Linked DNA regions of Yarrowia lipolytica. The protein of the gene in region 1 purifies or fractionates together with the protein of each later gene. This does not show direct contact. Links are inferred from orthologs where the notes say so. Each region holds a gene or a part of one and is shown in the gene's direction. Other genes may lie near its edges. The genes, in order: YALI1_A05821g, YALI1_E19483g, YALI1_E05390g and YALI1_F12080g.

What was found.
Region 2: the proteins of YALI1_A05821g (region 1) and YALI1_E19483g purify together in Saccharomyces cerevisiae (affinity purification with mass spectrometry; 3 studies listed by BioGRID). This does not show direct contact. The link is inferred for Yarrowia lipolytica from reciprocal best matches to the Saccharomyces cerevisiae genes CSL4 and UTP5.
Region 3: the proteins of YALI1_A05821g (region 1) and YALI1_E05390g purify together in Saccharomyces cerevisiae (affinity purification with mass spectrometry; 13 studies listed by BioGRID, with this or other methods). This does not show direct contact. The link is inferred for Yarrowia lipolytica from reciprocal best matches to the Saccharomyces cerevisiae genes CSL4 and RRP6.
Region 4: the proteins of YALI1_A05821g (region 1) and YALI1_F12080g purify together in Saccharomyces cerevisiae (affinity purification with mass spectrometry; 3 studies listed by BioGRID). This does not show direct contact. The link is inferred for Yarrowia lipolytica from reciprocal best matches to the Saccharomyces cerevisiae genes CSL4 and UTP4.

What each region holds. Positions count from the first base shown.
Region 1 is NC_090770.1:578,682-585,251, forward strand, and holds YALI1_A05821g (uncharacterized protein), read left to right. Parts: upstream 1-3,496; coding exon 3,497-4,354; downstream 4,355-6,570. Other genes in the region: YALI1_A05795g (uncharacterized protein), read right to left, coding at 1-880; YALI1_A05798g (uncharacterized protein), read right to left, coding at 932-1,121, 1,167-1,198; YALI1_A05813g (uncharacterized protein), read left to right, coding at 2,633-3,001; YALI1_A05836g (uncharacterized protein), read right to left, coding at 4,704-4,962, 5,201-5,430; YALI1_A05844g (uncharacterized protein), read right to left, coding at 5,474-5,758, 5,920-6,003, 6,170-6,295.
Region 2 is NC_090774.1:1,943,600-1,951,240, reverse strand, and holds YALI1_E19483g (uncharacterized protein), read left to right. Parts: upstream 1-2,903; coding exon 2,904-5,129; downstream 5,130-7,641. Other genes in the region: YALI1_E19508g (uncharacterized protein), read right to left, coding at 1-411; YALI1_E19494g (uncharacterized protein), read right to left, coding at 1,312-1,682, 1,769-1,817; YALI1_E19488g (uncharacterized protein), read right to left, coding at 1,814-2,431; YALI1_E19458g (uncharacterized protein), read left to right, coding at 5,438-7,237. UniProt on the Saccharomyces cerevisiae protein: Involved in nucleolar processing of pre-18S ribosomal RNA. Required for optimal pre-ribosomal RNA transcription by RNA polymerase I together with a subset of U3 proteins required for transcription (t-UTPs).
Region 3 is NC_090774.1:535,268-543,274, reverse strand, and holds YALI1_E05390g (uncharacterized protein), read left to right. Parts: upstream 1-4,247; coding exon 4,248-6,524; downstream 6,525-8,007. Other genes in the region: YALI1_E05416g (uncharacterized protein), read right to left, coding at 600-1,583; YALI1_E05403g (uncharacterized protein), read left to right, coding at 2,960-3,919; YALI1_E05353g (uncharacterized protein), read right to left, coding at 7,349-7,966. UniProt on the Saccharomyces cerevisiae protein: Nuclear-specific catalytic component of the RNA exosome complex which has 3'->5' exoribonuclease activity and participates in a multitude of cellular RNA processing and degradation events.
Region 4 is NC_090775.1:1,204,436-1,211,835, reverse strand, and holds YALI1_F12080g (uncharacterized protein), read left to right. Parts: upstream 1-3,827; coding exon 3,828-5,891; downstream 5,892-7,400. Other genes in the region: YALI1_F12089g (uncharacterized protein), read right to left, coding at 1-2,870; YALI1_F12052g (uncharacterized protein), read left to right, coding at 5,941-6,080, 6,462-6,517, 6,571-6,611; YALI1_F12033g (uncharacterized protein), read right to left, coding at 6,651-7,400. UniProt on the Saccharomyces cerevisiae protein: Involved in nucleolar processing of pre-18S ribosomal RNA. Required for optimal pre-ribosomal RNA transcription by RNA polymerase I together with a subset of U3 proteins required for transcription (t-UTPs).

The sequences.
Region 1 (6,570 bases):
GAGACACGAGAGAGAAGAAGAGTGAGATGAAGAAGATGGAAATCAAGTTGATCACGGTTCGGTAGATGAAAAACTGCCATAGAATCATGTGCTCGCCCTGAATGTTGTGAATGAATCCCCACATCATCACCTGGTAGAAGGAGATGATGACGAGATAGATGAGACCCACATTGTCGATAGCAGACGCCACACCGCCGGAAAAGGGTCGAATGTCGTTGTTTTGGAACTCCAGAGGCGAGGTCAGAAGCCGCGGCGTGTTGGTGAGCAAGTCTTTGATTTTGTCGTTGGAAAAGTCGGCTGTCAGGTTTCGAATGATCTCAGGAACCTTCTGCTCCTGGAAGAGAAACTCAAGAGCATCAACCTGAGGCTGACAGTAGGTGGCATGCACACTTTCCTGTCGACCTCCAGTGTTGAAGTAATGCAGGGTTTTGAACCAGTAGTCATCCTGGTTGCCCGACTCAAGGGCAGCCCGTAACGTAGCAGTCGAGTTTTCAAACACCACAAAGGCGCCCCAGAACTTGTACTGCACCACTAGCTCCTCAATCTGCTCCAGAGATGTGTACTCGGATGACACCACTGGCTTGATAGTCACCAGATGGGGCAGATTAGGTCGCTCGTTGACCAGATCAACGAAGGCGTTTCCAACCACGTCGTTGTCCCAGTTGATGACGGCCATCTTCAGATTGTGGGCTCGATCTGACCGCTTGTACATGGATCCCCAGAACAGCGGCAGAATTCCGGTCAACGCAATGGCCAGAGTGAGCACGTTGAAGAAGGACATCTTGGCCACCATCCAGTGGCCCTTTCGAAGCTTGGGGTGGTGCACAGGCACATAAGTTTTCGGTGGAAGGAGTCGTTCAGACGAGGTTGTGCTAGACATGGCGGTTGAAGCGGTTGAAATGATCTTTTTTCCACCGCTTGTCCTCCACCCTCACCTATATATCGTGTAAACAAAGACCGTTAGTCTAGCCACTAGTGCGGAGGAGAAGCCGTATGTGATAAGAGTAGACTGGCAGTATAAACACATGGTTAGATGTGTTTTTTGGGGGAAATGAAGCGATAGTCGTTGGTATTGGGGATCATGGTATCTCAGAGGGCTCCTGTCCGTCTTCAGTGATCCCCTTCAGCTGTCATCTCCACCTGATGACATTCTCTTGCTGCAGAACGGCGCTAAAAACGGCGCTATTTTCGGTGACATAAATCCGTCGTAACGTCGAGGACGCCGTACGAGCGAGGCGCAGGGTTAGTAATGATTATCGGTGGCGGTTTTGGTCGCGTCTTTCGGACTGTGAAAAGATCGGCTCCATATCGAATTCCGCTGCCGACATTTTAATTCCGGATAGGAGTGGGAGAAAAATTGCCAGTAAGTATAATGATTACTGTTCATAAAAGTGAAAAAAAAAAAAGACTAGAAAAAAGACCAAAGAAAAAAGACCAGAAAAAAAAATATGAGTAATTACAATGAGAATAAACAGAACTGGAGAGACAGGAAATTCACGGAAAAAAAACATCTATTTTATTCTATTTTATTGTCAGAAACTGCTGTCAGAAAAACTTCCACTCTAATACTGCGCAAGTACGTTCCTGAAGGGAATTTCACTGCACCCACCATTATAATTCCGGATACAGCTGGTGATAATTTTAGAGAAATAGCTTCTGCAATCACCGTACGAGGTGGAACAAAGAGAAGCAATAGGTGACGAATTACTACATGGGAAGATATAAATAACTCCTAAAAGTCGAAGATCGATCATAACTGTTCGGTGGAAAGCACCTTTTCGACGCTTCCGGTTAGTATGAGTTGTTTACTTGCTTTCTAGTTAGTTGGTGTTTAGTTGACCTTTCCAACCAATCTCCCAGTCATTACTCAAACCTCCAACTATCAGCCTTCTACATTATTTGACCAAACAACCTCCCAAAACAAACTCCACGTTCATGTACCTTACGCGTCAGGGATGCGCTTCTCCAACTACACTTGACATCTACATCGACGACATTAATTCGTCATAGCTCCTTCTCAATGCCACCAAAAAAACAACAACAGGTCGTTCCCGACATGGGCGACACCGGTACTCTCAAGCAGCGCAAAGACCGCACCAACAGACTCTAGACGGCGTTCAGACAGGAAGAAGCAGACACAGCAGCTCATTTCCAGCAGTTCAACGAGAAGTTCAAGCGGGAAATTGCCCCTCATCCCCCCGCTCCCCGTTCCCGCATTTAAGCAATAGTGTGCAACTGCTGTGAATCTTCTGGTGCAGAAGCACGCTACACTGATGCCCCGATGACAACCCAAAAGACAGCAGTTTCAACAACCGTGGAACCAGCTGCTGGATAAAGCTGCCGCCACAGCAATTACGGTCTATGTCTTTCCGCGGGACAAGCCCTTTCATTTCAAGAACGCGCTTCAATACAGGTTCGATCGCAGAGAGTTGAAGAATCGCGCCAATATTCTTTATTTCGGCTCAAAAGGTGAGAAGTACCAGTTCTTCGACCTCCAACACAAAGTGATACGCGATCATTTCACCACCACGGCTCAGCCTGTTGCTGTCTCTGATGGCCTCACCTGGTGGTGTTCCCTTTTGTGGATCTGCAACAGCCAGGGATCTTCTTCTCCAGAAGAGACAAGACTGTTATGGTCGCAAATGTGAGTGGTTACGGAGACCTGAACAACCATTTCCGTCAGTGTGAAAAGCCAGGTCTAGGCCGCTTCCTGTTGAGGAACTTCATGGAGGGAGTGTTAGTGATTGATCTTGCCAGCACCACTGCTACCAATGTGTTTACTCCTAAAAAGGATCAGAGGAATCCTGACATCGTTATGGGGTTTGTCGACGACAAGTTTGTGGCCAAGTTCGTTGACAGCAAAACCATGAAGAGATACGAGCAGGAGAAGCTATGGAAGACCAAGACCATAGAAAGTGAGGGGAATAGGTGCCGCGATTATTATGATAGCATGAGGGTGCATGTTTTCTACTCGCAGAAAATATCCTGTCAGCTGGTATGAAAGGCAGGTGGATTGGAGATGGAGGTAATGCAGTTCTTGGTAGTAAAATGCTCTCAACAACCATCTCAATTGCACCAAGGAAGATACGGAAACAAAATCCATATCACAGGTATTACACCCAGGTATTATCACTACTATCCAAATCAATGGCCTAACTATTCCACTTCCCAACTATCTAACTAAACTCAACTATTTATTTACCAAACTAACATAAGCATCAGAAAAAAAACACGCATCAAGTACGCTCATAAGCAGCCAAATGTGACAAAAAATCCATATAAAATATCTCTAAAACACCCGCCTAGACAAATTCCACCATTTGTAATCCCATATCTCCACTATATCTCTCCATATCGCGACCCCTCCCGTTCCACCCGCCTCCAATGACTTCCGGGTAACCCAACCTTAAAAAATTACTACCATGCATAATCATCACAGCATGGCTGAATCGAACATAAACCCCATACAAAAGGACATTTTACAGCACACAAAAACATGATCCCCGGATTCGTTACACCTGGAATTTTAATATCTCTCGTTGTCGACCGAGACGGCAACAAGTTTTACCCCGGAATCGGCACGGCTGTTCGAGTTGTGGAAGGTTCCGAGGCCAAGGTTGCTGGCAAGTCGCAGGCCAAGGCCATTGTCGCCACAGCTACGGGAAAGGTGGTGCTGAGCGAACGACAGGAGAGCGCGGAGCACAACGACAAGTCACGTGATACCAAGGGCTCATGCTACACGGTCAACATTGTGAAGAAGACCAAGGGTGACGATTCATCTTCAACTACACCTACTACATCCCATGTGTCGCCCTCGGCTTCGTCGGGACTGCCCAAGGTTGGCGATTACATTCTTGCACGAGTTTCAAAGCTCACGTCGAAACAGGCCAACGTGGAGATTCTGGTGGTGGAGGGCCAGGGAGGAGTGGGCCAGGACGCGGGTTTGGGACTCAATGGCAACGAGAACGGTATCCACAGCAACCCTCTGTCAAATGCGGGCTCTTTGGTGGAAGGCGCTATTCGATCAGATCTCGGTGAGGGCTTCGGTGGTATCATTCGGTCCATTGATGTGCGAGCCACCGAGCGAGACAAGGTCAAAATGGAGCTGTGTTTCAAGCCCGGTGATATCGTGCGAGCACAGGTCATTTCTCTCGGAGATGGTGCCAACTACTACCTTTCTACAGCCAAGAACGAGCTCGGAGTTCTGTTCGCTCGATCGAAAATCGGAGAGTTGATGTACGCTACCGACTGGCAGACCATGGCCTGTCCTGTGACTGGCCTGACGGAAGAGAGAAAGTGCGCTTCTCCTTATAAGCAGGAGGTCAAGGCTGAGGTCAAAGAGGAGGCCAAGTAGGTATATAGGTATTGCATGTGGTGTATCGTATGGTACACCTTTTTTGATGGAACTGGAGATACTAATCTGTCAGATACAGTATATACTGTACCATTCAATTTAATATATAGAAGGTTCGTTTCTCATGGTTAAGAATGATACCACTAGCCATGCTTGGGGTTTGTCTTTAGGATCCGTGTAACCAGACCCTCTCCGATACGCCTCATGGTACAACTTGAAGTACTGTACTGTACAGTACTCCTTTTTGTCATATCTGTTGCCAGGACGCCTCTTATGCCATCAAACTTGCCCTTCTTGTAGTAGATGGACGGCTTCTTTCCATGATGTCTGATTTTGAGCTCGTGCTTGATCAGTTCCATATCGGAGTCTTCATTGTTGTCTGCGTCAGTGGAGGAAACGTCGCAGTCGGAGGAATATCGCCTACAAATAGAACCACAATCCAGTTCTGCAAGTCCTGCTCCTTGTTCTTCTGGTAGACCAACTCAACGTCGCAGTCAATGTTTGTAAACTTGTGGGGATCATCAACAAAACAACTCTGAGAAGCATAGGTTCGTCGAGGATACAGGGAGTAGACCCTCTTTCCTTGCAAGTCGAACTCAACAAAGGGACTAGTGATCCGGTTATATTGAGAGGCGCAGAAAGCATGGAATAATATCGCCTAATCAGATTGTTAGACCCAACCTCCTGCACCCTCGTGAGGTGTGTTAGTCGAGAGCTGATATATGTCGAAAACGAGTAGACCCCACGTCATCCCCCTCTTGTTGCCAATATAAAGTAGGGAAAGACCAGTTGACGGTCGGCCTGTGGTTCTTGCACAGATGCTTCACCCGTCAGCAGATCACCAACGACAACTCCATGAGCTCCTCGAAGGTGACATCTCCGTCCATTGAAGGGTGACAAATCGGTCCATTCCCTGATTCTGGTCGCCCTGGATAATTCCAAGAATCTTGTAGACATGGGAAGACGACAAAGGTGCCAAGCTGGGGGAAAAGGGCGCTGATAGCAGTCAGAGCTCGTGTGTCGGTTTTCTGTGGAGGCGTATCGTGTCCAATCTTCTCTCGGATGGTAGGACGCATTAGGGGCTTCTTTTGTTACAGTACCCCATGTCTACCCACAGCCTCAGGAAACGGCCTTCGTGAAGATGGTAGAGATAACCATTGTAGGTGGCGCAATATTCTTGGTGAAATTTGTCTCCTCCATCATATCCACCAGCATCCGCACATGGAGCTGCACAAAAATAATGTGGCGCAAGTCCTCGGTAGGCTCAATGTATCCTAAGTAAGGGGAAACATTGTGTGCTGCAAGGAACCGTTTGATCTGGAAACCTGCACTTCCGGGAAGATGGTTTGGGTAGACCATGTCGTCCAATGGGATGGTAGTCGGTCTTCTCGATGTCTGCATGCTCTTCAGGTCCAGGAGCGTGTCGTTGTGGATCAGTTTGTTCCGTAGAGTCCAATTGAGTCAGGGTGTCGATAAATTTCGTCCGGAAACACGGGTTTCATGTTCTCTCGTAGGTCGCTGTCTTCACTCTCATCGGTTGCATCGACGCGGCGATAGCAACTCACATTGCCCAGACAAGACAGTTCCAGAGATTTGACGAGTAAGAAGCCATCCCGTTCCCCAATATCGGGCTGTTTGATGAGACTTTTCTGTGTTTGCGCGACCAGCACGAGTGCACACTAGTTCCAGGACGTGAGACCTGCGGATCCCTCGTTCAACGCGAACCAGTGTACAGTACTCTCTTGAGCACATTTTCTCGCACCAACGTCTTGTCCAGTGATCTCCACAGCTTTCGGTACGACTCCCACGATTCACTGAACGCCAGTGTTTCCAGCTGCTGAGTTTGAGGATCTCCAGCTTGATTTCTGTAGACACCGAATCGAGAGTACCAGTCGTCAGGTTGGCGGTGGTGGAGTCATTGATGACAGAGAGTTCCTGCATGACGTTCAGCGCTGACTGGAACTACGTGAACAGCTCCAAGTCGAGTATGACATGTTTGTGGGGTGGCCTGTAGTACATAAATCCCCTCTACACTTTTTTTTTCATTTTTTTTCATTTTTTTTCATTTTTTTCATAATTTTTTTCATATTGGATCCGAACCTTTTTTTAAAATAGCGGAGCGATAATGGTATGAGATAACTCAAGAGGGTGTCCGGAGCGATCCAAAAAAAGGCAGTGAGCTTTAAATTAGGACAATAATTGCTGTGAGAAGCTCC
Region 2 (7,641 bases), on another chromosome or scaffold:
CAGCTGAGATCGCAGCAGCGAATTGACGCCCTCAGCCCCGGACACAGATACAAGAGTAGGCACCAGCTTCTCCCGGAACTCGGGCTTCTCCTCGACCCGGATCAGCTTCTTGGAAGAGGTGTGGGGGTTCCAGTTTCGAGTGACCATGTTCTTGAGATAGACCGAGGCGGCCTTGCGCACATTGTCCGACGCCTGGGGCTCCCGAACAATGTCCAGACAGCTGTGGATGAAGCCGGGCATCTTGTCCACCTCCTTGAGCTGGGCCTCGGCCTGCTTGATGGTGTTGGGGTTGCCGTTGGTGGTGGCCTCGAAGCACGAGTACAGCGCGTTTGTGTCCATCTTGCTGTATTTGTCGTTCTCAGATAGCGTGGACACTCGGTGCAATGTAATGCTACCTTTTTTTTTTTCCATACCTCCCTATATTTTGATGGGTTACGTTAACCTTAGCGTTGAAGGTAGGGTAACGCATCAAGGGAAATTCAATGTAGGCTGCTGGGGCACTTTTGGTTTGGCTGTAGAAACATATAATACAATGCACAGGGCGCGAGAGCTGTATCGTCGGATACACACGAGTCTGGCATTTTATTTTTTACTTTCAAAAAATAGATTTGGACTCCTGTACCCTTTGTTATACGTGCATTTTCGCGGTCACTGCTTGCTGTTGCCCAAGAAGTTGCAATAGTTTTTCAGAAAAGAAACCAAAGTCGCAGACACAGACATGTGCTAAAATGGCTGGTTGAAAAGAGCTACAAACGCTTGAGAGGTGTCAGAGGGGCTGTTGGTACTGTGCTTATATGTACAGGGTCCAATCTGTGAAAATATCGATGCTCGCCGAGTTGTAGCGTGTCTCAGATCGAGGCCAAAAACAATGTTTTTGTCAAGTAAATCTCAACTGTAAACTCAACTATTTGTTCATCAGCCGAGTTTTTTTGGAAATAAATGCAGAAGAAAAAAATATTTTCCCTTTTTTGTTTTTTCAAAAAAAAAAAAAAAAAAAAAAAAAAAGGACTGGTCTTGGTGAAATCCAATCCAATCCAATCCAAAAGGTGCCTATGCAAATCAAATATGATACATCTATATACACCCGCGGAACCGGCTCGGCCGCTACTCTAGATCACCATGCCAAAAGATGTTGACATAGAGCCAACACCACAGTATCAATTAGTACGTTTCGTGGATGCAACTGTCGTCACATCGACCACACGTAGACTATCCTGTATGTAGCACACATTGTCCTAACCAGCCCATTTATCCCATTATCCCATTATCCAACCGTTTGGTGTCGCCACCTCATTGTCCCCCTCCCCCACCCTATGCGTTGTTGTTGAGCTTGCTTCTGGCGGCAGCAAACATTTCCTCCTGCTTTCTCAACAGCTCCTCCTCGGTCATGCCCGACTGCTCCAGCTTTCCAACCTTCTTCTCCCGCGACTTGAGCGCCTCCTTGTGCTCCACAATCAGGTCCTTGATGGGCTCAATGTAGTCTATGAATCCCAGCTCCTGCAGAGCCTTGATGACATGTTCCGGCGCAATCGTCTTCTTGCTCTCCTTCTCGGCAATCTCGTTGCTTTCGGTGCTCAGCATCATGATGAACTCGATGCAGCACTCGATCAACACGTCGCGGGTGTCCTTGGCAAACGCCAGGTCTGACGGAATGATTTCGCTCACTATCTTCTGCACCGTGGCTGGGTTAATAACCGACCCACAACTTTCAACCCCCCACAAACAGAAACACAAACACAAACACAACCCCCCCTCCGGCTCTACTCACCCTTGGGCAACGAAAGGTCGTCATTCCCTGAAGTTTCTCTGTCGCTCATTTCACTGCGTGTATGTTGTGGTAAACGTGTGGTTGTGCCGTGGTGGACTCGTCGCTCTTACGCGCCTTGTATGCTTTATGCATGTTTATATATTTTTCGAGCTCCCAAAGATAGAGTTCAAGAGTCGTAAACAGTGATAGCCACCCTACAGGAAAGTGCAAGTCGCACTGGGAGAACGGCGCCACCGATCCAGCCAGGTCACGTGATCCTACATACCCCCCCCAGAGCCACGCCCCAAGAATTGTATTTCCCACTCTTAATCTGTTGATTTTGGTGCCTTTGGGCAACCAACCCTGTTCCCTCAAAACACGTACAAGTTTGTCAGTCAATTCATTCTCATCCATCATCCAACTACTACCCCGTTTAAGGTTCCAGAATGAGCTTAAAATGCGGGAACTCAAAGAGAAACCTTTTTTTTTTGGGCCCGTCACGTGATGGCAAACACTCGATGAGACGTAGCACAGACTCAATGAGACGTAGCTCAGACTCAATGAGACGTCGCAGAGCAATTTTGTGGGGGCGGGGAGGGAGGGGGGAGACCAAGGAGGGAACAGCCGGCTGTTGGCGACAAGAACCGACTTTGGGTTGTTCTGTTGCACTCCGAACCACAACATTGGTGACAATGAACAAGCTCAGTTTAGACCATCGGGGTTACATAGCTGTTAAAACGCCAACAAATACTTGCAAGGGGTCCAGTTTTTCGGCTAGTGAGTAAACCGGGGGTGTTTATCACGACTATCGGACCGGTTTGGTCCAAAGTGTGGTATTTCGTTGAGCATTTGGAGACAAACAGATTATGTGTTGTCGGTGACTAACCCTAGTGCATGAGTCAATCTGGTATTGGTGGGATCGTTATGGGCGTGTAGCTACTGTACAGCTCCTGTACAATGGTGTACTATGGTTGAGTTGGTTTGTTGCGACCGTCTCGTCTTGGAGGATTTACACGACAACTAAATGTTTCCCATTCCGGGCACAGGTCAAAATCGAACCAACGCCGCCTGCCAACTCCTCTACCGTTCGACAGCGCGCCAGTTCGATTCCCCGTTGTGATGCTAAAGTAACCTCGTTTACGGTGGATCATCGAGAATGACATATAGTGGCAAATACGAGGAGATATTTTGTGTCGAGCACGTTTCGGGTCGACACCGAAGAGTCGGAACCCCCCAAAACTCCCCGTTTCCACGCTTCCCCGCAACTCCAACGCTCTCTGCTCTGTTCTTCTACCACACCAGATGTACTTGTTACAATACAAGTCTCGGTCAATTTTCATGCAGAAAAAAAATTCAGAGTTTAAATTATTTTTTCCTGCACTTGGACAACCATCAGGCAAGCCAGATAATTCCACCACAACTCACACACATCATGTCGGAACAGCTGTCTCGATTCGATCCCGCTCTCACGCAGTACGCCAGCGTCACAAGTGCGCTTAACCAGCACAAGATCCGTGTCCAGGCGGTCTCAGGCGCCAATGCCAGTCTCCAGCCCGTGGAGTTTGTGTTGGAGAAGGGCACCACTGTGACTGCTCTCAAGTGGACCAAGAACGTTGGCGAGGGCGCCTCGTCGTCTTCTCGACGCAAGAAGACCAAGACCCAGGACTCGGCGGCTGCTTCTTCCGAGGAATATCTAGTTTCTGTGGGAACCAACCGGGGCGACATTCTCACTTTTTCTCCCGCCCAGGCCAAGCTTGTGTCTGCTCTCCGAGGCGGCCATTCTCTGCCTGTGGCCGACTTTGACGTCGACGCCAACTCCGGCACCACCTACTCGCTTGACAACCGAGGTCTTTTGAACGTGTGGAAGGGCTCTTCTGTGGAACGATCTGTGGACAAGACCGGCGCCAAGCTGGTGGCCGTTCTGCCCTCGGGTAACGTGCTGCTGGCCACCCACAACATCGCCGTCTACGGCCCCCAGGGCGATGACTCGTCGGCCGTCTCGTTTGACTCGGCTCTGTTTGATATCCCCTCGCACACCTCTACTGTCACCGAGCTGTGTGTTCGAGGTGACCTTGTTGCTGCCGTTGCTGGCGACCGTCTCATCAACGTGGTTAACGTGGCTCAGAAGAAAATTGTGCTGGTGCTCATGGCCGAGTCGGGTGCCCACCGTGTCTCCATGAACGGCGACATTCTCACCGCCCTGACAGAGGGAGGAGCCGCCGAGTTCTTCCAGCTCGCCCAGACTAACGGATCCACCCCCAACAGCAAGAAGGGAAAGCGCAAGAGCATTGTCACCAAGTCCTCGTTTGCATCGCTGGACCTGGAGCGGGGCACTAAGGCTGCCGGCCAGAACCTCGTCATCGACGCCATCGCGCTCACCGCCAAGGAGGCCTACTACTCGTACACCGAGCGGGCCCAGGCCCAGTTTGCACACGTGACTCTGGCTGCTCTGGAGACCGAGCCCACCATGACGGTGGTGCACGACCCCAAAAACGCCGCAAACCACTACACCGAGGAGCGAACTGTGCCCGTGTCCTACAACGAGGAGGACGCTATCATTGCTGCTGGAGACGACTATTCACAGCTGGAGAACGGTGTAGGAAGCGACGAGTCCGATGACGACGAGTCTGCCACTCTGGCCGAAAAGATGGACGCTCTCAAGCGAGAAAACAAGACCACCAAGAGCGGACTTTCCGGAACTGCTCCCCCGACCATGGGATCTCTATCCACTGTTCTTACCCAGGCCATCAAGTCCGACGACGACGATCTGCTCGAGTCGTGTCTCCTTTTCCGAGACGAGGAGGGCATCAAGTCTACCGTCCAGCGACTCAACAGTAATCTGGCCGTGCTACTTTTGGAGCGTTTGGCTGCCAAGATGACCGCCCAACCCTCTAGAGGCCGACAGTTCAACGCCTGGATCAAGTGGGTCATGGTGGCACATGGAGGATACCTGGTGACCGTGCCCAAGCTGCTGGTGACTGTGTCGCGACTTCACAAGGCTCTTAATACCCGAGTCAACACACTGGATCGTCTGCTGGCTCTGGAGGGCCGTCTGGAGATGCTTGAGGCCCAGATGGAACTGCGAAACGCCAGCCACGGCGCCAACGACGACGACGAGGAGTCCGACTCCGAGGTCGAGTTTGTCGAGGGCGAAGAGGACATTGACGAAGACGATGAGGAAGACGACATGTCCGAGATCATGGCCATGGGCGATGATGACGATGTCGAGATGGGTGAGGGGGACGAAGGTGAGGATGATGAGGACGAGGACGAGGACGAAGAAAGTGACGAAGAGGACGAGGACGAGAACGAGATTGCTCTGCCTGACTCGGACGAGGAGGAGATGAAGCAGGTGCTCAACAAGAAGCGAGGCAAGCAGTAAATAACTAGCATTATAGATTTGTATCATTGGTTTGGGAAAAGTAGGGGTCTAGAGAACACAATGTAGTACGCTCAAAAATGATCCGACGGAGTTGTAATTTTGACACAATGGATATGACAACATTGTTAGCGGTTTAATGCAATGATATTTCATGTTTGTCACACGAAATCGCCCCCAAAATCACCCCCAATATCATTCGTATAATCCGCTCCTCTTTCCCCCCCCCCCAAACTCTATTCGAAAATTATTATGCATGTGCATGTATGTGAGAAAAAACACTGGGTAGTTGAAATCTTTTCAAAGCCACCATGACGAAGCGGAAAAGTGCGTTGAGTGCGCTGAAGCCGACGAAAAAACAGGTCATCAGCTCGGAGGATTCGGATCCCGAAGTCGTTGTGGTCACCAACCCTCCTCTGGACTCTCCGGATGCAGAGGAGTCGTTCATCAGCATCACCGAAGAAGATGAGGCCGTCAGACAGCTCAGCACTTTTGATTTCAGTGCAAAGAACACCAAGGTGGTACGAGATGAGACTCGCGGTCGATCGCGAGTTTTCCACGGCATGAAATTCAAAGAAACCATCGTTCTACGGGGAGCCTATGTAGTCACGGTGTGGAGTGGAGTTATCCATATCAACGGAGCTCTGGTGAACATCAACTCTCCGGTCGATATTCCCGTGTTTGCGCCCGCGTCTCACGCTCTTCCTCAAATCGAGGCTGCTGCTGGAGCTCCCGAAACTCGAGAATCGGGGGACGAAGACGTCATGGAGGCATTGCATCAATTGGAGGGATCCTCGGTCATTGTGGAGATCGCAGCAATGCCGCGACGGTCAGAAAACCCGTTGATTACGGTCAGCAACTTTGGGAAGATGTCCTCGGGCAACATTGTGCCGTTTGTGCGTCAATTGTGGCACTGCTCTGAGGATGACGGCAGCAACTACAGCAGAATCTACAACACAGCCAGTGTAGTGACGAAATCGCAGGCAGCGGTCATTCCCGGCATCTATGACGAATGGGCCGAAGTGTGTGACGACATTCGGCGACTCAAGCACTCCTCCACCATGGTAGTGGGCTCTCAAAACACCGGCAAGTCCACCTTTTGTAAATACTTGAGTGCGTTCATGACCACCAAAAAGACCGGCACCTCTGTGGCGTTTGTGGATCTAGATCCTAGCAATTGCGAGTTCACTGCCCCCGGTCAGGTGTCTGTGACTGTTATTGGCGCAGGTCACCTTAGTCCCTATTCCATTCTGGGACCCTCCTTCACACACGTTACAGCCCCCACCTACAGTCGGTTTGTGGGTTACAACAACCCCAAAGATGACACCAGGGGGTACATTGAGGCGTGTAAGGCAGTTATCGACTTCGCCAAGGGTCTCAAGCTGCCCCTGGTGTTCAATACCTGCGGCTGGGTGCGTGCTGCGGGACACGATCTTCTGCGACAGCTCATAGATCATGTGAAGCCGTCAGACGTGGTGTTTACACGTGATCCCGGCGTCGACGCCGACCAGGCGCGACTGGCTGAATCCGTCAAGGCCCGATCGCACGTTCTCGATGCTCCAGATGCAGAGCCTCCACGTTTCACAGGTGCAGAACAACACTCGCTCCAGACTGTCACGTATCTGCACGGAGGCAATCTTGCGTCTCATTTGAGCGACCTCCCGGCCCTCGAGGTGGGTCTGGAGTCTGTTTACGTTGGTATTCTCGACTCTGAGGGCGTTGATCTGGCCGATGTGGCACTGTCTACCAACTCCACTCTTTTGGCCGTCATGACGATGGACAAGAAGACCGTCAAGCACGCGGAAATCACCCCCGACGGACTCCAGTACCTGCCCAACTTTGACATTCCGCAGGGCGAGTGTCTTGGACAGGCCATGGTGCAATTTGCAGGAGCTAGCGTCCGTTTGCATACCCCTGTATCAGCATCTCTGCTCAACGCGCAGCTTGCAGCCGATAAGGCCATTGTGCTGGTCCGAGGACGTATTCCCCTGCCTGTCTACGAGCTGTGGGACTCTCGAAAGGGTGGAGAACAGGCCTACGTCTCTTTCGACGTGAACAGCGGAGTTGGTTCCGAGGCTTGGGTAGCTAGACGTGGACTTAAGCGCAAGTGATGCATTTGCAATTGGATTCTACCGCTATGTACCGGTACATGTTACACTAATAGAACTAATAGATCATTGGAGAGTGGCGCACTATTTCTTCACATGGCTCATTCCCGTCGTTGTCTGGTGATATTGATATAGCGTTGCTGCTCGTCGGATTCAACTCGTGGTTTCCAACTCGCGGTTCCAACTCGTGGTTCCAACTCGAGGTTCTCAAGAGCGCAACTTGCAGAGATCAAATAAAACTCCACTTGCCTCTGCTACTGCCGCTGTGGATACGGTTGGGCTCTTTAGTCAGGTTCTCTCAGAGTCGTATAGGAAAAAGAAAACTCTGGGCGCACAGCTAGTGACCAACTTGTAACATATTGGTTTCATTTGCGCGGCTTTGAGAGAACCTGACCAAGAGCTCGGGC
Region 3 (8,007 bases), on another chromosome or scaffold:
CTCGTGCTATCGAGACGCATTGAGTTCGGCAGTTAACGGTTCCTTCTGTAAACAAAGAGGATCATGCTTCCCCCGAGTAATTCAGTGGGACCTTCATTGCGTACGCCCTCATTGTTCCAGCGGACCTCAAGAAGAAGTGGATCTCCTCCAAACGCCTATTTTGATAAACCTCAAGGGTTGGTGCTAAACTGGCAGGTTAAATTTCCTGGAACTCTACGGAATTCATTCCCGATAACCGTCGGTTCATGAGATAGCTGGACACCTAATGTTTCAACGGTTGCAAGAGGCTGAAAATTTCATTGGTTTTGATTCGATATGTATTGACAGTACTTATGCGGAACGGGCCGTCCACAATATCTCGCACGAGTTATACATGAACATGGCATACGAATGCTCAGCCTTGAACGAACACTTCGATCGTATTCTCGGTTGCCATTCAATATAGTTCATACGGCTCTAAAGGTGAAAATTACCAAGGCATAAACAAGCCACCCATGCTCGAACGCTACGAATCACATGTCTTGCTCGCACATTCTTCAGGATCTTCCCCACAAACTGAGGGGTATGATGGTATTGCTAGACACAGCTAAAAACAGCATTTAATAATCTCCTGTGGAACCACCCCATTTGAATAGACCCCATGCAGTGCTGCCTGAGATCTTTGTGTACTCCTGAACACCCTTGTCACCGTCAGCAGCTCCTGCTGAGAAGTAGAAGGGAAAGAGATGTTCAGCGGTGGGATGGGCAGCTGGTCGGTGAGGGTTCTTCCAAAGCTCTGAAAGGTTTTCCAGATTTTGCTCATCAGAAACAGGCACACTCGTGACATTCTCTACCACGTCCTTGACAGCATCTTCAAAAGGCTGGGAATACTCGGGCTCTCCACCATCAGCAAACTTACGTCGTTCTCGAAGATTGTGAACTGACATACCGGATCCAATTATCCAATATCCCTCATCTCTCAGAGGTGCGAGTGCCTTGCCGAGGTTGTAGAATCTCTCAGACAGCTGTCGAGGACTCAGATGGTCCACGTCGTCACCTGCAGGTTCTGAAATATTGATGATGGGGAACTTGAGGGCACCTTTTTCCTCACCAGCTTCTTCAAACATAACTCTGGAAGCGACCCACACGCCATGATCCCACTTCTTGTCACTTCTCAATTGGGCATAGTAGCCAGGGGTGTTATCAATAAGTTTGGCGATCTTCTCAGCAGAGGCATGGTTGCCCTTAGCCCAGAACTTCTCCTCATACATGTGGGCTGGGAAATTGAAGAAATCGTATTCGAGGTTGGGGTAGTTGTCGTTTTTGTCAGTCACAATTCCCACGGGAATACCCTTACCATTGACCTTGGGAAACTCGTTGTTACCGGTACCCTTGGGGTTCTCGTCCTGCTGGTTCGCACTTTCCCAGTGGGCCGACATAACAATAACGCCCTTGACAGAGTCGGGATTCTCCTTGTGTTTCTGGATCAGATCTCGTCCAAGATGTCTGAGATAGTCAAAGGCTCCTTTATCTCCTCCAGGGTGATTCTCGTACATGAAGGTGGGGCCTCCATGAGGAATGAAGTAGACAGGTGTGCGGGCCATTTTTCTTGGTATTGTAGAGTCGGATAAGAAGTTGTAACCTCATTAGAGACGAGGTCCTACTAATATATAGTGTTCGTCATAGACGGCCCCAAGCCACAATGAAGCCATGGCCAACATGCCATATGCACGGCGCGAGCTAACCCCACATAAAAGTAGATCGATTACCAATACATGCTCCTGTTGTCGCTATTACTTTTAGAGGGGAATGAAGTTTCGTGTTAATGATCCTAACCAAGAGATAGTGCGGAACCCAGTTACGCTGAGTGGAGGAGTTAACCGATGGAGCATTATTCACGCAAAATTGACCGTGACGTAATTAAAGTGCACGACTTCGAATGAAGTCGTGCACTTGGTCAGATTGATAAAATGCTCAGGCATGAACAACAATGCGATGTTGCTATCAATGTTAACAATCAGATAACCGGGTGCACCAAAGACAACGAATGAACATAGTACTTGTGCGTTCGTACACGCGTCGTCATGCATATGGGCTTCTGGAAAAGGGCTTGACTCAAATTTAGTAAGCTGTGACAAAGGAGGCAGCCTCCTTTCAGGTATTGTAATCACGAATGACTGCTGAGTCGTAAGACACCGGTGATATTAGGCAATGGGCCGCTAATGTTTAAGAACAATATATCCAGGGTGTGATACACGGTTACGATAGCCAAGCCCGTACTATCTCTACAGTGGTTACTCCATTTATGGTGTCGTCTGTAGTTCACTGTATAATCGCCTCCTGCCCATACAAATGCAGTATCGATATGAAGGAGTCCAAATAGGGCACTTGTAATTATTCGACGTGTTTGAGCCAAAAGCCCTCAATAACAATCTGCCGCAATTAGCCGGGGTCTGTCACACTTGGTGTCTTCGCCACCTTCGCGATACCACCCTCGTCACCTTTTTTGACTTATATTATAAGCTCTCAGATATTGCTCGTGGCGATCATGCACAAATCTGAAGTACAGTACATACACTTATACATGTGGCTTCAAGTGATGATGCCGTTGATGATTACGCTCCTTGATTTTATGTAACGTCCACCGTTTGAGATATATTGAAAACATATTCGCTGGTAACCTCTTTCTACCTGTAGTGTTGCTCTGTGCACGATAGCTGTGTCCTGTTGGATGAAATAGTTTCAGTATCAAACTCCGTGTTTCTTTACTGTAGTTGTAGGGTTAGGACCCCTTAGTCATGCATGCCATTTCCATCACATATCGTGCAGAACAGGAGGATTTGACTTGATTTACGCCATCTTCACTCATTACGCCGAGAGGAAGAGCGAAAAGCCTTACAACAAGTAACGGGCGGTTAACACAACGTGGCAAACACTCAACATAAAAGCATTTGATTAGGAAGTTGACGTGACACAGAAAATGGCAAACGACAAAGACCAAGATGGGTTCTTTCCCAAGTATCAGCAGCCCTCATTTGTCCTGCGCATGTGGGGCAAACTGGTACCCGCGGCCGATAACAAATATGCACTTACCATTGTATGTGCTGCTCAGATGGGTGTGGGCGTCTTGCTGCTAGCCTATCCGCGGAGATCAACTTTCAGGGCCAAATACGGAAAGTGGCCATACAGAGCAGTCAAGGCTACAGGCATCCTCACTGGATCAGCACTCATCGGCTGCACCGCAATATTTGATTTGGCACGCACGAGAAACCTCACATACGACCCCTGGGCCCAGCGAGCTCGTGCAGACCGAGTCAAGGCTCTGAAGGAAGGCAAAAAGGTTACATGGTGGTGGGGAGCTCACGATCACAAGCCTGTGGGTATGAACGAATACATGTCCGAGCTACGGGTTCTCTTGGAGATTAAGAAGATGCAATACAACAAGAAGAAGCTGGCGGATGTCGCTGAGAGTGGTTTCAAGCCCACAGAGCCTCTCCTCTCGTCTGATCTCTACATGGACGATATTTTGTGGAAGTACGTGCTGCCTCGAGTTTTCCCCGATGAGGTTCCCATATCCCCCATCTCTCGAAAACTTACAGAGGCCATGTTCCAGTCTCTGGGTCTCACATATGAGGAGCTGGTGGCTGCAAACCGAAAGTTCCGAGAAGGAGTGCTGGAGCAGGTAGAGAATCCTCTGTTTCTTGCACACCGGCCATGGCTGTTTGGAAGCTCTAGCAGCATGGATGCAGCCATCAAGGAGGTTCTTGGAGAGGGGTCCAACGACCCAGATATCCTGGAAGGTCTCTACAATGACATTGCAGAACAATGGGATGGATCCATCATGTGGGGCATCATTGCAGGAGAGACAGATGTGACCATTCGTCTGATTCCTGGAACCGATATCGTGGAGCTGGTGGAGGAGGCTGAAGATGAAGAATAGATAACTGGGTCGTTTGTATGAGCACCCATTGTACATAAAAGATTCGGTATAGACAATCTAGCTAGACGACCTACAAGTAATACAAGTATGCACGTCGTAGAACAGCACAAGCAGTATAGTAGAGAGAGATTTCGGTGGTTGCACCAAAGAGACTGACAAAAAATAAAAAAAATCCGCTCGTCGAATAGAGTAGGACGGATAAGAGAATACCTGTCTATCACTTCACCATATCCGCTGGACCCTCCAACTTCAAGTATAGTATGTACCGTATTACTACCCGATTTGTGTTAGCTAGCCCTAAACCTAATCGTAAATTATTTCTCTGTATATGCATCAATTTTCCAACAGCCTATTCCCAGTCCATTCCCATCACCACAACACATACAAGATGGAAATCGATAGTGTTGTGCGACTGGCCCAACAGACTGCCAAGGCTGCCCGTGGTCTTGCTTCGCACGACATCAAGTTCTACAGCTCTATTGATGACAAGGTGGCCGACAGCGTGAAGGAGAATGCATCACAGCTCATTGGAGTGGTCAACCAGCTGGCCCAGAAGATTGCCCCGAACGAAGTGGGATCTTTTCCTCCCGAGCTCGACACTGTGAACCGACACTGGAATGAGTTCTCGTCTGTTGTCGATGACCTGTACGAGAAAACCGACATTCAGCTCGGAAAGCTGAACAAAAAGGGAGACAAGGTTGAGATTGCCGAGTCCAAGAAGACTGGCCCTCAGACGCTCGGAGAGAAGATCCGAGTAGGAAATGCCATTCAGTCATCTAGCGAGATCAAGGGGCCGCAATGGAAGCCCCAGGAGATGTGGGAGGTCGACAATTCGAGAGACACTCCCTTCAAACCCAAACTCACCTCGAAACCAAATGCTCTGGAGCCCCTAGAGGACGCGTTCGAATTGGTGACTGAAGATGACAGACGAGATCACTACCCACAGCCCTACGCCAAGGAGATAATGGAGCAGCCCTACCCAGATGAGGTGTACGAGGAGACAGAGGTCATTCCTAACCGACCATGGGAGGCTGAAGGAGAGGATGAATACATCTACGTTGACACAGAGGAGAAACTCAGAGACATGGTTGACCACCTGAAGACCCAGGAGGAGATAGCCATCGATGTCGAACATCATTCCATGCGAACATACTACGGCATCACATGTCTTGTGCAGGTTTCCTCTCGGGAGCAAGATTACATCATCGACACCATCGCTCTCCGAAACCTCGAGATCTTCAATGAGGTTTTGACTGACCCCAAGATTGTCAAGGTTTTGCATGGAGCCACTATGGATATTCAGTGGCTCCAAAGAGATTTCGGTCTGTACATTGTGTCTCTGTTCGACACCTTCCATGCCGCCCAGGCCCTTGGCCTCAAGGGACACAGTTTAGCGTTCCTTCTCCAGCATTACGCCAACTTCGTCACTTCTAAGAAGTACCAACTCAGTGACTGGCGAATTCGACCTATGTCGCCTGAGCAGCTTCTCTACGCCCGAGCAGATACCCACTTCCTGCTCAACATCTACGATCAGCTGAAGAATGCGCTCGTGCAGAAGGACAAGATCGAGGGAGTTTTGGAAAAGAGCAGACAGACTGCTTCCCAGAGGTATGAGTACACCGGCTACGACCCAAGGTACTATCTCAAGTCGTTCGACTACGAGGGAGGTATCAATCGTCTCATTTCTCAGTTCCACATCACTGGGCCTAGTGTCTCAGTCGCCAAGGCTCTTTTCTTGTGGAGAGACAGCATGGCTCGAAAGGAGGACGAGTCTACTGGCTACGTGATGCCTAACTATCTGCTCGTTTCACTTGCCAACCGAATGCCTCAAACGCCCGAGGCTGTGTTCAGTGTATCCAAGTCTCTCCCGCTTCTTGTTCGAAAAAACGTTGAGGAGATTCTGGACGTCATCAAGGATTCCAAGGACGAGCATGTTGAGGTAGAGCAGGTTGAGGAGGAGCCCGTCCTCGCTGCCGAGTCTATTGAGGGGGCAGAGTTTTCTGAAATCGCAGAGGTCATCTTCCTGGCAGCCCAGGACGGACAGTCAGATATCACAGGCAAATTCGACTCTTCCAAGTCGTCTATTGTACATGTAAAGGAGACTGCTCTAGGTCCTCTTGGTGTTTCCAAGATTGATAAGCATATGATGGTTTTGGCGGTTCCCGTCGCACCCCTATCTGTTGACTCTACTGAATCTGATAGCGAAGTCCAGAACGCTGAGGAGGAGGTCAAGGTTGAGCAGGATGCCGCTGCTGACGACGAGTCTGATTACTCTGAAGATGAGCACGAGCATGCCAATGATATCATTATTGCCAAGTCTAACAAGAAGTACACAGCTGACAAGGAGGCTAAGAAGGGAGTAGCAAAGGAGAAGTCCGAGGAGTTCACTCCGTTTGACTACTCTGCTGGTGCTTCTATTCTCAAGTCCGACGATCAGAAGGCCGCCGAGAAGAAGGCTGCCATGACTGCCCGAAAACAGAAGGCCAAGGAGAAGAAACAGTTTAACCCCTACGAAATAAAGGAGGATGCCAAGGGTGCTTCTAAGCGACGAGGACCCAAGGATGGAGGTGCTCGATCAGTCCAGTACAAGAAACGGCGTACATAGGCAACAAACAACTTAAAGTACTCATGGAGTATTAAAATATATAGATTGTAATATACGGTGGATTTGATGTCATGTTTTTAAAGTGGGTGAGAGAAATATCAATGTTCGTAGCCCTTGTGCTTGTCCCAAGTTGGCCAGGGGTGTAATAAACAGAATAAACAGCCCCTACAAGTAGTCATTATGAGATGGCCTGTAAAATAATTCAAAACCCCACTTACAGTACATACGGTAATTACAGTGGGTGCTTGTTAAAGGAAACAACTGTTGTAGGGGGTCGCGAGAGCTCCATGTCTGCCGGGACTACCATGGCGACATGTTTGACTTTCAGATGGTTTCATTGTTACATTTCTAAAATGCAACGGCTTGCAACTTTACTTGCCATTGGTTTTTCTACTGTTTCAGATTCTTCTGGTGATTCCTCTACAAAACCATTCTCGTCGTAGATAAACCTCTAGTATCGCTATTCCAGCGGTTGTTGAGTTGTCCAGACAAAACTGTGGCCAATCAAAGGGTCCATTACTAACCGTGCTGCACCTTAACTCACTTTCGCTTGGTCGTTTTGCCACTGTGGCAAAGTAACTCCACACAGAGAATTTAGGTCCATGAGAACAAGGCCAAAGATATCAAAAAGACACAAAGAAATCCACACCAAGCAAACGTGGTTATGGGTTGAGCGATTTGCCAAAATACAAGCTACAATATGTCCTTTTGAATGTCTTCGCCTCCAGTAGATAATGCAGGTCCTGCATATTCAAAAGTCTATCCTTCTCGTCTAAGGCGGAACATTGCTTCCCTAACCCCATCCAACAAACCCATGTGACAGGTCACTCAACACTATTCTCACACCTTCTAGACAACTGAAAAACAACACATTGACAATGACTCGATTCTGCGACACCGTCAAGACACTCATCAAGGAGCCTTCCTTCTACCAGTTCACCGGCACCGTTGCTGGCTACACTCTGTTTGCTGCTGCCTTCCCCGTTGTTGCTGCCATTCACACTGCTCGAGGCGTTGCACTCCTGAAAAACAAGTCTCTTGAGAGCTGCGAGTGCGAGAACAAGCTGGCCAAGAAGTTCGACATCTCCAACATCACCCTCAATGAGTGGTACTCTCCTATCACCCTGCTGTTTCCCCTGTTCAAGCGAGTTGTTGAGCCCCTCGGACCCCTGGCTGTCATGTGGGCCCGATACACCGGTCTTGTCGGTGAGATGACCGACAAGGAGGTCAACTGCGTCTTCAACTGCTGGGCGAAAATCTCTCTCGGATACATCTACGTCACCGGTGCCATCTGCTTCACTGGTCTCTCTGTGTGGTCTTACCGACGACAGACCCAGCGACACATCAAAAAGCAGAGCATTGTTGGTGTTCCCGAGGTCACTCTCGCTCTCTTTACTGGTCTGCTCTTTGTCTAATCGATAAATAGGCATTAATTGATACATAAATATATAGTCAGTGCGACTGTGATTGCTCAAAACCGCCT
Region 4 (7,400 bases), on another chromosome or scaffold:
TCATCGATGCCCGAAACTGTCGACAGCCGACTCTGGCGTCGTCCTATGGGACTTCCAACCGCATGACTTCCAATAGAAGCCCGTCCAATTGGACTTCCTCCAACAGAAGCTCGGCCAGCCGAACCTCGGCCAAGAGGACTGCTGCTCATAGAGCCCCGGCCGAGAGGACTGAGTCCAAGAGAAACCCGGCCCCCAATAGACACCCGACCTCCAACAGAACCCCTCAAGCTAGTGTCTCCACTAGTCTCATCTTCAGGGTACTCGGGGGCCTCAAGTGCATCCTCATCCTCGGGAACAGTATGTCTTAGAACAGTGGTATCAGCCTCCGCGTTCTCCCCTTCTTCAGCTACCTTCTCATCATCCTCCTCTGCCTCCTTCTCTGCAACGCCATCCACAACTCCCACAGGCTCCATGTTCTCCACTGACGCCACAAACCGATTAAATGCGTTCAAGGACACATTGTCAATACCCTCGATGGCCTCGTGACACCGAACAACAGCCTCCTTCAGCTTGGTCAGCTCCTCAGCCGTCAAGCCGGGGAAATACAGCTTGGTCAACGCAGACGTGTACGCCCTGTGCTCGGCTCGCTCCCGGCACTCACTCAGATACGACAAGATATCGAACGCCAGATCGTAGTGGACACGTGACGTAGTTTCTGTGGACGACTGGTTAGTAATCGACACCACACGTCGCGGATCCGTCCAGTCCAAAACCTGCTGCATCATCTCTGTGGCACCGGTAAGAGGATCATCTTCAATATCCTCCAGGTGACGCAGAATTCTATCGATAGCAGGAATAGCCACCGATCCAAGCACCTGCTGATTCTCGTCACGTGAGTAGGCGTACACAGGAATGCAGAAAGACAAAACCTGCTTCAGAGCACCGTTGGAAGCACTCTGTGGGTCAAAGTAGTTGAGAAGGATACCCGCCAGAAGATCGGGGTTGGAAAAGACGCCACAGAGAAGCAGCTTGAACAGTCCTTCGGCGGCAACAGCCTGTAACTCGGGGATGTCGGCGTTCTTCAACGCCTGGTAGTACAGCTTGTGCACACTCTCAGAGTCCACTTTATCGGGAAGATCGAGAACTGAACGACCATGAAGAACCAAAATATCAGACATGATCTTAAGAGCTTCAACCTTGAACTCAGCCTCGCCCTTGTGAACACAGTGTCCGAAAACCATGAGATTGTCCGACGCTTGTTCACGAGATAACAGAGAAAGAAGACCCAGGCATCGTAGACCCCGTTCACGGATTGTAATCACATGAGAGCGAACTGAGGGAAGAACCAAAGAATCTAGTAGACCGCTCAGCTCGACATTCGACTCCAGAGACGTCTCCACCTGCTCAAGCACCGTCTGTGTGATAGCCAGACACCGCAAAGTGGTACAAAGCACTCTGTCTGGGTCTTCAGACTCACGTGCAATGTCTTCGATATCCACCACGATTTCAACCAGCACCTGGATGAAGTCTCGCTCTCGGGTGCACAGTTTGTGGAACACGTTGACAACCGCAGACACAAGAGTATCAGAGAGATCTTTATTAGTCAGCGCATTGGTGAGCACGTCCACAATCTTTCGTCGTCCGATTTCATCACCAAAATCCAGCTGCTGCGCCAGAAGCAAAAGCTGCTCAAGCACAAACTCCCGCTCGGAGTATCCCTCTTCGTCCACGGTCAGATTTTGGAGATCGCGCTCAATAAAGAAAGCAATCTTTGTAACTTCTGGCACCTGGGCGTCCACTAGATCGTCGTAGCCCTTCTTGAGACAGTATTGGGCGTATACACGCGCCAGGAAGGCCGTTTCTGGTGTCAAGGTGTCCCACGAATCTTTGAACGAGAGGTTGGAAACCATTTGGGGCTTCTGGTCAAATATAATCTCGACGGCAGTCTCAGCTACAGTCGAATTGAGCACATCGAGACGCTGCAGAAGCTCCAGGACGCTACCGTCACAGGTTTCGAGCCATTGGGTGACAAGCATCTTTGTGGCTGCCTGTTCCACACTCGTGTCTCGGTCCTTGAGACCCCATTGGAGCAACTTCTCTCGCATGCCGATCCGCAGCATTCGGAAATCACCAATGCTCTTCATGGTCCGTCCATACACCGACCGTCGCGTGATGGAATTGGTATCACGTGCACGTTCAAGAAGATAGGGAAGGGTCTTCTTGGTCACCTTGAGGTTGAACAGGATAGCCCGGCGCACGTCGGCCGAGGGATCGTTCTGGATCAAGCTCAGTAGCAGCTCCTGTAGCTGTTTCTCCTCCGCGGACTCCTCCTCTCCTTCCTCAGCAGAAGATTGGATTCGGCACAGAGCCAACACGGCCTTTAGCCGTGTGCTGGCGTCCTTGTCGTACGACCGCGCAAACATGGAGTCTCGCAGGTCTTCAAAAAGGTCGTCGTCAATGTCACTAAGAGAGTTGATGACGGTAGACAGAATGTGGCAGCATCGGAACCGCACATGTCTATCTTTGGCCTGGGTTCCTCGGAGCACGTGACGAATGAGTGCCTCGCAGAAACGAGACGCCACTGTGCTCTCTTCCTCCTCATCATCTTCATCTTCATCCCGGTCTTCCTCTTCCTCCTGAAGACGTCCCACATACGAGCCGATGAACTCGACCACCTTGTCGGCCGACTTGTCGCCCTTCTTGCACGTGAGCATGCGGTTCACCAGCAGCAGAAACTTGCGCGTGAACTGCTCTTCCATGTTCCACTGAACTGCTCCCTCGTGTAGTTGTTGCATGGACACAATGATCTTTCTCTGCGCCACTAGCGACCGCTGCGCCTCCTGGAAATACTGCCCCAGTAGCGAGTACAGCTTGGCCTCGTTGCGGTTGTTGGCTTTGACCCCGACATGTGTTTTTTTGGCCGTCGTCATGCTGAGTGGTGGTTTGATGTAACTGGCAGGTGTATAGTGATGCGACAAAGGGATGTTTGAACGCGTCAACAAAGGCCGTTGCCACGGTAACCACCCGGGGGAAAACTTTGTATATTGTGCGGGGTTCGATTCCAGCTTGGGACATGTGATTCAGAGAGTGGAAAAGTGGAGGAAAAGAGGACATTTGGGGTTATCAAAGTGGTATAGATGTATTTGACGATTGGTTTTTTTTGGTTTTTTTTTTTTTTCACGTGATATTCGTCCGTTTGGGGGCATGGAACCCCCGTTTTCTTTTACTTGACTTGGTGTAATAGTTTGTTACATATTACTTGACTTGGTATAATAGTTTGTTACGTGTTACTTGGCTTAGTATAAATGTTTGTTGAGAATTACTTTAAGCAGAACAGAACACATCTACAAGACAGACTAGAGAATATATATAGACAAATCCAAGAGTGCAAGTTGTTGCAACGGTCAATTTACGATATTATTATAAAATCAAACTTATTACGCCCAGTATCAATCTCCATTCAAGTCATCTTCTGAACACCATTGACTCTACACTTAACATCGCCAGACCACACTTTGCTATACAAAATATGGTGTTGCTGGTTAGATAAAACAACTCTGAAAAATGCATCTTGTTGGTCTTTTTCCGCTCCATATCATGGTTCTTTCAGATTTCTATTACGTCCACTATTCGTCGAGATAATTCCAAAACACGTAAAACGTGGCCAAAACCAAAAATGAAACCACTGTCATAGCATTTCAGTCTTTAGCAATCTCTTCAAGCCCTCTTTCTTGTTATACAGGCTCTACATAGTCCGCTACTTGTAGGTGCTTCTATCACCCATTAGTCACATGACAAAGCCTAAATAAAAAAAAATCTGCATATGCATATAGGTAAGCCAAAAAATTGTGAGAGTGCAACATATCACAAAAACAGCACACAACACAATGGACGTTCATAGATGCCGTTTTGTGGACTACAATCCGGCCGGAATCACGGCGCTGGCGTTCAGCCGACGCTCCGAGCTGGACCAGAACGCCTCGCCGGACCTGAGACTGGCTGTGGGACGAGATAATGGAGATATCGAAATTTGGAACCCCCGATGGAACTGGCTCCATGAGACGACTTTGCGGGGAGGAAAGGGCCGGTCTGTCGAGGGGCTGGCGTGGTCTGACTCGGGCGACTCTTCTGGCAAGCCGCGGCTGTTTTCCATCGGAGGATCGACCGCTATCACCGAGTGGAACGTGTCCACGGGCCAGCCCAGAGTCAACTACGACTGCCACAGCGGTGTGATCTGGTGCATTGCCGTGAGCGACGACGGAACCAAGCTGGCTGCAGGCTGCGAAAACGGCTCCGTGGTGGTGGTGGATCTGTCTGGAGGCCCTGGTGTGATGGAGCATTCGCGAGTCCTTCAGAGACACACCTGTCGAGTGCTCAGTTTGGCATGGAGAGGCTCGCAGGTGGTGGGCGGCTGTTCGGACGCGCGGATCCGGGTCTGGGACGAAGACGGATCCACCATTGCCACCATGAAGGTCGACACTGCCAAGGGACCTGTGGCACAGGACGACGCTACTCTGGTGTGGACCGTGGCGGTTGTGAAGCGAGCCAAGGGCGATCTGATCGTTTCCGGCGACTCCACGGGCTCGGTCAAGTTCTGGGACTGCACGCACTTTGCTCTGAACCAGTCGTTCAAGACCCACGAAGCCGACATTCTCTGTCTGGCAGTCGATGCAGCCGGAGACGCTGTCTTTTCGGCGGGTGTCGACAAGACCATCGCCTGCTACGAGTCTGTGGGCAAGCGATGGAACCAGACCAACGTGCGGGGCTACAATGCCCACGACGTGCGAGCTCTGGCTACTTACGAGGCCAAAAACCTGTCTCTTCTTGCATCTGGAGGCGTGGAAAAGGTGCTTGTGGTTGCTTCCGTTAACGAGTTTGCTCAGGGCCCCTACCGAAAGTTCTCGGTGGCTCCCCCGCGAACCCAGACTCTCGTCTATGGCTCGATTGTGGCCATGTGGAACGGTCAGACTGTCAAGCTGTGGAGACGCCTTGAGGGCGGCCAGAGAAGACTGGTGTGCAAACTGACCATGTCTGCCGATGACAACATTTCTGACGTGGCCATGTTTGGTTCTCTTCTGGCGGTGTCTTCTCTTCAGGAGACCAAACTTTTCGAGCTCGAGGAGGTGCTTTCTTCCAAGGGCCATCCCGTTCTGAAACCCAACAAGTTGATGGATCTGGAGGGAGCCCACTTGACCGTCTTCTCGCCCGCTGGAGAGCTGCTGCTCATTTCCTCCGATTCCGTCATTCTCATTTCGCTTAACGAGGAGCTCGCACCTATCGAAGAGCTGCAGGTTCCCGAGGCGGTGCTCAAGGGCAACCTCATTGCCCACGGACACGAGACGGAAATCGTCGCTGCTGCCTTTTCAGATACACATCTGGCTCTGTCGCGGCGATCGGGTCACACGGAGATTTTTGTGCGGGGCGACCGAGGCTTCAAACACGCTCGAACACTCATGCGTCTGTCTGCTGCTCCCGCTACCGCGATGGCCTTCACGGGCGCCAAGACACTGGTGGTGGCCACGGCCGACAACAAGGTGGTGGAGTTCGATCTCGGCTCGGGTCTGCTGACCGAGTGGAGCCGATCCAACCCCGAGATTCCCGACCCCGTGGCTTCTTCGGTCGACCACTGCACAGGCATGTTCCTGGACCCCAGTTCCAAGCACTCCCAGCGAGTGTGGATGTGGGGAGCCACCTGGCTGGCGTTTGTTGACACCTCGACCAACATTCCGGTCGAGCGAGTCCCTAAGCGACGTCTGGATGGAGAGGAGACGGCCAAACCCGTCACTTCCGAAAACCAGACTACCACCGCCTTCTGGTCGACCAGCAAATACAGACCAATCATCGGCGCGGAGATTGTGGACGGCAACGAGCTCGTGGTGGTCGAGCGACCGGCGTTCGACATTCCTCTGCCCGCAGCCTTCTGGTCCAAGAAGAAGAAGCGGGTTGATTAGATGGACGAGACGAGCAGGAGACTTGGGTCACAGGTGTGTTGTATTTGGCATGAGAGGTCACGTGTTACGCCCGAGTGAGGTCACGTGTTTTAGCATGAGGTCACGTATCCGGTACATAGGGTACGAGACCTGTACAATCCAGTCTAGCGCGATACTTGGGTCCCCGAAGTGGATCGACTGGTTGGCATGGTGCATGGATTAAATAGATATTAATGAACTGTTAGATGGAACTGATGAGGTCGGAGGTCGGTGAGGGGGCAATTCGAGACCAGATCTGCCTTAAAGACCGACTTGTGGCACAGTATGTACTATTTACAAGAGACTAGGTACGTACTGTATGAGTAGGAGCCAGTTAGAGAGAATATCAGATCCTCGGAGTTCATTAGGGTGCTCGGATTACTGCTTGACACAGTAGTTGGGCGAGTGTTAGGTAAACATCTACTCGTTCTACAAGTACTTGTAGTGCTCAGCCCATACTCGCCATTGATGACATTTCGGTTCACCCACAAGTAGCTCTTTCCTTCTCTATGCAATTAGTATTTCTTTACATGGGTGAGTATTCTCATTCAGTCGCTTTGCTCAAAGTGAGTCTCTTCCTATCACTGGTGAGAGCCTCATTCAAGCGAGTCTCCTCCAACCACTCCGATCAAGTGAGTCCTATCCAACCATTCCGACCAAGCGTTCAGACACTCCGGTCAGGCGTTCACTCCGATCAAGTGAGTCTTTTGAGCTGCTCAGACGACTGGCTTCGCTCGTCGTCTAGTAATCTCTAAATACCCGAATCAAACCATCCAACCTGTTCATCTGCACCAGCAGCTTCTCCTCTCTCATTCTCAGTCCCTTGAGATCCGCCTTTTCCTGCTCGGTCAGAAATTCATCTTCGTGTCCCTTGACATCCTCTCGCTGCAGCTTGCTCAGCAGAATGGGCAGCTTGGCACGCTCGGCAGCCACCCGCTCGAAACAGCGCGACAAAGACTTGTAAATGTCCTGTGAAATGAGCGAGTATGCCCGGTTGGCTCTATGATGCCACAGAAAAATGGTTCGAGACGCAGCTCTGTCGGCGGTTCGAGGCAGCTCTTGCACGTCCAGAGCGCCGACAGAATGCAAGTCGTGCAGGTGGTTGAGAATCTCCTTAACGGGCAACAGCGCAATATTGGTCAGCAGCTTTTCGTCCACCTTGCCCTTGTCCTTGACAGCTCGCAGCAACCGCTTGGCCACGCGGCCGTACTTCCACTGAATGATCTGCTCGTATCGCGCGCCCCGCAGGCACTCGGTAGCCTCTTTGAAGTTGACGTACCACTCTCCTCCGCCCTTGGTGCCCACGCTCTGCACAAACTTGAGCGGTGAGGCTGCCAAAATCTGCATTTGTTTGGATACTGCTGTTGCTAAAGCAACGCCCGACAACTCCTCTTCCATATCTTCTTCAACGTCCACCTCCTTCTCGTCATAGTCTCCAGTCTTTGTATATCCCTCTTCAGTCTTGACTCGTTTGCTCTGCGGCCGGGGAGA